2 linked regions of the Oryctolagus cuniculus genome follow. The protein of the gene in region 2 interacts with the protein of the main gene of each other region in a biochemical or structural test. Links are inferred from orthologs where the notes say so. Each region holds a gene or a part of one and is shown on either strand. Other genes may lie near its edges.

Evidence for each region.
Region 1: the proteins of CABIN1 (region 2) and MEF2D form a complex in vitro, tested with the Homo sapiens proteins (2 studies listed by BioGRID). The link is inferred for Oryctolagus cuniculus from reciprocal best matches to the Homo sapiens genes CABIN1 and MEF2D.

Annotation. Positions count from the first base shown.
Region 1 is NC_091438.1:42,273,035-42,276,839, forward strand, and holds part of MEF2D (myocyte-specific enhancer factor 2D), read left to right. Parts: intron 1-967; coding exon 968-1,105; intron 1,106-1,156; coding exon of another isoform or gene 1,157-1,291; intron 1,292-2,003; coding exon 2,004-2,214; intron 2,215-2,390; coding exon 2,391-2,447; intron 2,448-3,805. UniProt on the Homo sapiens protein: Transcriptional activator which binds specifically to the MEF2 element, 5'-YTA[AT](4)TAR-3', found in numerous muscle-specific, growth factor- and stress-induced genes.
Region 2 is NC_091452.1:30,882,649-30,886,553, reverse strand, and holds the start of CABIN1 (calcineurin-binding protein cabin-1), read right to left. Parts: upstream 2,512-3,905; 5' UTR 2,403-2,511; exon of another isoform or gene 2,086-2,402; intron 1-2,085. UniProt on the Homo sapiens protein: May be required for replication-independent chromatin assembly. May serve as a negative regulator of T-cell receptor (TCR) signaling via inhibition of calcineurin. Inhibition of activated calcineurin is dependent on both PKC and calcium signals.

The sequences.
Region 1 (3,805 bases), on a different chromosome or scaffold from region 2:
GGCTCACCCCACCCTCTCTGATGTGTCTCCTGTCTGGCAGGTGTGTACCCCTCCCTCTCTTTCCCCCTGTTTCTCTCCATCTTTTAGTCTGCTCCTTCCTGTATTTGCCTCTTCCTTTTTGTGCCTCCCTCTTTGTTTCCATCTCTCTTGTTCTGTCTCTGTCCTGTGGCTCTGTTTCCTGTTTCAAAGAGAGCTGACATTGTGAACGGGTGAAGGACATGCATGAGCTTTGGAATTCAGCTCTGGCCTTTGCCGGCCACGTGGCCTTGGGCAGGTGGCTTGGCCTCCCTGAGCCGTGGTGTTCCCTCCGCAGACTGGGGCCCATGCCTGCTTTAAAGGACACGATGTGAATAGAATGAGATGAGCCAGCTCCTGCTGCTCACACCAGGGTGCACACACCTTGGGGTGCAGAACCTCTGCCGACCACGAGGACGCCCAGGAAGGCACAGGCTGCCCCAGAGATTTGGAGGAGGTGCCCTCGTTTTTATGTTTGAGAAAGCAGATTCCCCCTAGACTAGAATGTACAATTTACATTGCTTTTGAAGATGAAGCAGGTGTCTGTAAAGATATTTTGAGCCTGGTGGGGGCAGTTTGGGGGCCAACTGCAGGCCCTTCCACGTGCCCCCACTTTGTTCAGATCAGCGCTGGGGGTGCACAGGAGAAGCTCTGACCTCTGGCATTGACAGTTTGTATGGTGGTACACAGTAGGAGCTCAATAAGTACTAGTTCCCCCTTTTGCTCTTCTATGTCCCCTTCTCTCTCTCTTACACTCCCCGTTCTACTGAGCAAAGCCTGGGGATTGGGATGGGCCAAGCCACCCTGATCATGTGCCCCTGGAGAACACGCAGTGGCCCAGTGGGGCGGGGCGGGGTGGGGAGATGCTGGGCCCCGGGAACCCTGAGGAAGGGGGCGGAGGGGGGGTTCTTAGCGGGGCTGGGAGGACCCTCGGCCTGCTGTGCGGTTACAGACCCTGAGGAAGAAGGGCTTCAACGGCTGCGACAGCCCCGAGCCCGACGGGGAGGACTCGCTGGAGCAGAGCCCCCTGCTGGAGGACAAGTACCGGCGCGCCAGCGAGGAGCTGGACGGGCTCTTCCGGCGCTACGGGGTGAGCCCCACTCACTGTCTCTCTGTTGGCCCCCTCCGGCCCCTCCCCCAGGCGCTGCACAAGAAGCACAGGGAATGTGAGAGCCCTGAGGTGGACGAGGTGTTTGCCCTGACCCCCCAGACGGAGGAGAAATATAAAAAGATAGACGAGGAGTTTGATAAAATGATGCAGAGTTATAGACTGGCCGTGAGTAGTCGCATGGAGGAGAGCCTCCCTGTGGTGCATGGTGTGGCTTCGCGCCCGGCCCTCGGCTGCCTCGGATGGCTGCTCCGCTCTGAGCCGTGCTGGGGCTGTAGTGACCACTGAGGAACCCCTGGCCTTGGCCGTGACGAACCTGTGACCCTCGCTGAGCCTCCTCTTGGGAGGCACGTAGGCTGAAGAGGCCTGCGGCGTGCCCCTCCCCCAGCGAGCAGGGTACGGAGGACAGGAGCGTAGAGAGTGCTTTTTCCCCAGGTCATTTGGGTGGGGGGTTGGGGGAGTGGAGACCCAGCTTCCGACACTCAGCATCGTTTCGGGGAAGGCAGTGAGGGGGCGCAGGCCTTTCACTGCTGCGTGTGAGTTTGGGTCTCCTGGGTTCTAACCTGCTCCCCGTGTGTCCTGGCTGGCTGAGGACTAATCCACCTCCACCAGGGGGCGGCCCTGGTCCTGTGTGCAGCGGGCAGCGCCTAGGTCTCGTCATCCGGGCCACAGCGGGATCCCAAAGCGCTCCCACCAGTGCGCTTCCTTGGTGGGAGTGGCAGGCAGGACTCCAGGAGGGCCCAGGGCAGAGAGCCCCAGCTGCTGGCCGTAGGATGCACCGCCTGGGAGCCAGAAGAGCCCTCGCCTTCCCTCTCAGGCATTGTGGGCCCCGGGTCTGGGCTCACCCCGGCCTGACTTACCCCTCCGTCTTTCTGTCTAGTCAGCTGTCCCGGCCCCCAACTTTGCCATGCCTGTCACGGTGCCCGTGTCCAACCAGAGCTCCCTGCAGTTCAGCAACCCCAGCGGCTCCCTGGTCACCCCTTCCCTGGTGACGTCGTCCCTCACGGACCCGCGGCTCCTGTCCCCCCAGCAGCCAGCACTACAGAGGAACAGTGTGTCTCCCGGCCTGCCCCAGCGGCCAGCCAGTGCAGGTGAGGGCTGGGAGTGAGCCGTGCTGGGGACTTGGGGAGTTCCTTTTCAACAGTGAGTGTTTCCCTTCCCCCATGCAGCAGTCCCCCGATTGTGCGGCCCCTCCTCCCGGGGTCCCCAAGACTCAGTGTGGGACGGGGAGTGCTGCCAGCTCATCACGTTTCTGCTTTCCCTCCAGGGGCCATGCTGGGGGGAGACCTCACCAGCGCGAACGGAGCCTGTCCCAGTCCCGTCGGTGAGTGCCGCCGCCCTTCTGCCTGGCGGTGGGCAGGGTTGCCCCTCCGCCCCTGGGACCCGGAAGGACTTAGAGCAGTGCAGAGGAAGAAGCCAGGGTCCGAAGTGCAGGCCCCTGGACTCTGTGGCCTGTGGCAGTGATGGGTGTGGATGAGCAGTAGAGATGTAGGCTCGGGAATTCTGGGACACAGAATGAAGCAGCATTCCCAGTTGGAGGAGAGGATCTAAGGGCTTCCAGCGAGTGGGGTGCTGGTCTTGGGGGGGTGATAGTGCCTGGTGCTACGTGGACCACTGTAAGCACGGGCCGTACACACCCACATCTGTGCGTTCTCGCTCTGATGCTGACGGAAATAACTGTAAGCACACACGTGCAAGCCACAGAAGAAGGGCAGCTGCCCTGTCCCCCACCCTGCAGCCCGCAGTCCCGGCTGTCCTGTGCTCCTGTCTGTTTTGGTGGCTGACTGCGAATGTCACCGCTGACGTCACCTGACATTCTTGCCATTCTCAGAGTGATCCGGGAATGGGATGGAGGCAGCCACACACTTCCAGGGTGACTGCGTGCTCTTGGGGAACAGGGCAAGGTGGCATTTCTGACTCTGGCTGCCCCCGCACCCTCAGCCCTCAGAGTCCCCCGCCCAGCCTCAGTCGTCGGGCACTGCTCGTGCGCTGGGGTCGGGAACCTGGGAGAATGGGTGAATCCCCTCCCACTCCAATGAGAGCCCCAAAGCGAAACTTGCAGGCCTGGCCCAAACAGGGATGCGTGTAGGCCCTCACGTCCAGCGTGTGGAAGGCAGGCGAGGGCCCCAGCTGTGTGGCCCTGCACGGATTGTTACACCTCTCCCAGGCAGGCTGAGCCAGGGCTGATGGCACCTGTCCTGGCCGTTCTGCAGGTTATCGTGAGGATCAGATGAGATAGTGCATGTGTGTGAAAGGCCTGTGGAGATGGCGGAGCGCGGCGCTCATCGCTCATCGCTGCCGGTCGGCTGCTGCTGGTGGCCGTGTTAGCGGTGCTTAAGTGCCAGGAGGCCTGTCGCCATGGCCAAGCAGCTTGTTTCCCCTGGCCGCAGGCAGCTCGCCCGTGTGCTGCAGATAGCAGCCTCCCCAGCCGACGGCGTAGGGAGCACGCCGAGCGGTGGGTGGCCGGGCTCCTCAGGGTGGCTGATTCCGGCTATCGCCCCTTCCCCGCGCGGCCGTCCAGTCCTGTCCAAGGCAGATTCTGGGCGCTGAGAGCGCTGGACTGAACAGGTGCCAAAGAAGAGCATAACGCAAGGAGAGGCCCAGCCGTAGTAGAACCTCCCGGCCAGCACTGGGCCGGAGGTCACAGCCGCGTTCCCTTTGCGGCCTCGGAGCACCCAGGCC
Region 2 (3,905 bases):
AAAAAAAAAAAAAAAAAGGACAGGAACTGTTATATAGAAGGAGAAATAATGAAATGCAACGGGGATCTTGGAAAGGACCCTGGAATGAAAACAGAAGTTTAGTGGCAAAACTGGTGCAATTCGAATCACCTTGGAAGCGTAGTTAAAACAGTGCACCAGCGTTAGTTTCTTGTTCTTGAGAAGCACACTATGATCACATAGGATGTTGACATCAGTTCAGTCAAGGTGTGGAACATAAATTGCTACAACTTTTCTTCCAATCTAAAGTTAGTCTAAAATGTAGAAAGCTTAAAAAGAACACTTGAGAATTCACACTACCTGTAAAAGCAATGTGCGGATGGAGACAATGTAGCATTAGCCACCCTGACCTCCAGAAACCTCTACAGAATTGAAAAACTCAACGACAGGGGTTGGTGCTATGGCGCAGTAGGTTAGGTCCCCACCTGTGGCATCAAGGTCCCAAATGGCTGCTGGTTCAAGTCCTTGCTGCTCCACTCCAGATCCAGCTCCCTGCTGATGGCCTGGGAAGGCAGTGGAGGAAGGCCCAGGTGGTTGGACCTGGAGAAAGCTCCTGGCTCCTGACTTACATGAGCTCAGCTCCTGCCATGGCAGCTATCTGGGAGTGAACCAGCAGATGGAAGACCTCTCTCTTTCCCCCCCTCTGTCTGTAACTCTACTTCTCAAGTAAACAAATCTTAAAACAACAACAAAACAAGCAGCTATTGAATAAAGACGAGAAAGTACAGATGAAGTACCACTTATTGGAAGTATTTGAAACGAGCCATGTTTCAGATTTCTGCTTTTTTTGGATTCTGGAATACTTGCACATACCTGAAATCGTTTCAGAGACACATTAGGCACGTAAACTGAAGGCAATTTTATACAATACTTTTAACAGTTGTGTGCATAAAACAGAGTTTCATGGCACGGCATTTTCCACTGTGGTGTTGTCAGAGCTCAAAAACTCAGCTTTTGGAGTACTTCAGACGATGGGTTTTCAGATCCGGGAAGCTTTACCTAGGACCATTTCTCAGACTCCTAACCCAGCAGCTCCATCTCCTTGGAACAACCATCAGTGTCAACTCACAAGTCCCCAAACTCTCGTCAGAGTACGGTTTCCTTGGCCTAAGGGCACATGCTAAGGACCAGCACCCTGACCCAGACTGAGAAACACCGGATTCCCGCCTGCTCCGGCCTGGGGCCTGGCCTACACCGCCTTGTCTGGGCCTGGGTCCCCTTCTGCAAGCTAACCAGCCCATTGCTTTTGTACAGCCCAGGAGCAAAGGATTTTTTTTTTTTTTTAACATTCTTAAATGGTTGAACAACACGGGTGACATGTGCAAAGTATATAAAACTCAAATTTCAACGTCTGTAAATAAAATTCTCTTGGCACACAGCCACCCTCTTACATGCTGTCTCCATCTGTAGCCACAACACCACCACCGGAACTGAAGAGTGAACCGTCTCCAATATCTAAAGTACTATCAAAAAAATTAATATATTTATTGTACAAAGTTCCTTCAAAAGTTGGCATTAAAAGTTTATTTTGATGCAAAATATTTTTGAAATCCATGCAAAGGGTCTCCAAAAAATTCATGAAAACACCTACTACTTAATAAAAAAAAACTATGCATGGATTTCAAAATTTTCGTACCCAAACCTACCTTTTAGTTCCATTTTCCACGAACTTTTATTAGTATTCCACAATTTATGACACGTTATAAGAAAAATTATATTCGCAAGCATGCAAATTCCTAAAGATCGTTCTAAGAATATTTTATTTGCAACCACAGCAACTAATTACAGAGGGAACCCGAGCCGCGTGGAACTGACCTGCCCACACCCGCACCTGTCACAACCCAGATCCGGACGAGATCGGCGGCCCCCAAAGCACCTGTGCAGACACCCGGGGGTGTCAGGTGCGCCCTGTCGAGCCCAGGGCCCGCCTTCTCCCGGGAAGCAGTGCTGCACGCTGGTCAAGATTCCCGGTCCCGAGCCGGCCAGAGTCCCCGCGTGCCTCTGTCCCACTCACTTTCACCATCCCCCGGCCTCCGTCCCCACCCCCGTGAACGGCGCTCCCCGTACCAGCACTCACCGCGCACGGCTGCGGTGAAGGTGAGCGAGAGGACGCCAGCGGCGGAATCAACTGTGGCTCCCGCCGCGGTCACTCTCGGGGCCGGAGCCGCCCCTCAGCACGGCCGGGACGAGGCCCGCGGGGCAGCCAGGAGGCCCGGCCTCAGTTTCCCGGACTGCAGCCCCGGGGTCTGCCTGAGGCGCCCACAGCCTTCTCGCGGGATTCGGTCTCGCGCACGACCAGCGCTCCGGCCCGCGCCCTGGCACAGTCCGGTCGCACCCCTCCAAACCCCGGAGACGCCCCCCAACCCCACAGCACCGGAACTCACCAGGCGTCTCCACGGTAACGGCCATCCACTCGGACCCCCGCGCCGGCCGGCGGCGCGCCTGACAACAAGGCGCTTTCCCATTGGCTGCGGTGCCTGTCCGTCTGACCAATCAGCGCGCTCCTACGTACGGCTCGCCCGCGCGGCGGACTAGTTGGGCTTTGTGGGTGGTGCCCCTCCAAGCAGCCCCGCACGCGTCTGGGAAACCCGGGCGGTCGCAGGTTGGTTCCGGACCCTTGCGGGCAGCCGTGGGCTCGCGGTCCGGCTCCGGGCTCTACCGACCGGCATCACCTGGCGGTTCCGGTGCTAAGATAGGTGCTCTCACCGCGCGATGGCAACTTGGAGCACTTAGAGGAGCTGAAGGGCCTCTGACAGGGGCCTGGAGCCAGAGCTTGAGGCCCTCTAGGGATGCTTAAATAAGAATGAATGCAACAGCCTTCTTTTTTTAATTTAATTTCGGAACAGTTTTTAATACACAAAACAAAAACTGTGAGGTAGTAATGCAGAGAGCTCCCAGACACCCCTCACCCCATTTCCCCTATTATTAACATCATATTAGTGTCTGCATCACGATGAACCAAATCCAGCTTCCCTTATTTTTTTTAATCCATACTCATTATCCCTTCCGCCCGTCCCAGCCTCTAATAATCAACACCTGGTGTTTACATAATAAACATGTATATGTATATACACATAATTTTAGATCCCACATATAAGGGAGAACACACACATGTTACCAGTGAATGGCAGGGTTCTTGTCTTCGCGCAAGAAAGAATTCAGGCGTGAGACAGAGTAGTGGAAAGTAAAGTAACAGTTTATTAGAGAAAGGACATCCGTAAGAACGGACAGGCACCTCTCCAGACAGGACCTGAGAGGGAGTGCCCAGTCGCTCGGACTGGGGGTGGGGGGAGCGAGGTTACATGGTTGAGTAGAGAGAGCACTCCTAGGCAGGCAGGTGGGAGGCTCAGCAGAAAGGCAGAGGGCTGAGTGCGCAGTCCGGTTGAGGCCAGGGGTTTTAAGGAGATGGGTCTTGCTTCCCCACCTCTGCTCCTCTTGGAACAAAGGGCTTTTTGGATGTAAATAGAAAAACTTCTGAGTTTTCTCCTTGAAGTTATCAGACAGGGGGAAGTCTGGCTGGCTGCTCCCGGGGCACCCTTAGAGGAAGGGCAGGGAGGGCGTTTGAAGTGCAGATACTGGGCTGCACCTGGAAGGTAATCAGGCAGAAAGGGCTGGGACCCCCTACCTGGAAGGTTATCCGGTAGGAGGGGGCAGGGCAGGATGCAAACACTGGGCTGCCACCTGAAACTATCAGGATGACTTTGAGATGCAGATGCATATGCTGGACAAAGACGTCTTCTCTTTAGGCCTTTATGTCACACACACATAAGCTCATATCTGACTTCCTACCTAATATATATATATATATATATTTCTGTGTCTGGCTTATTTCACTCAACATGCTGTCCTCCGTTCCATCCATTTTCCTGCAGATGAAAGCACTGCAT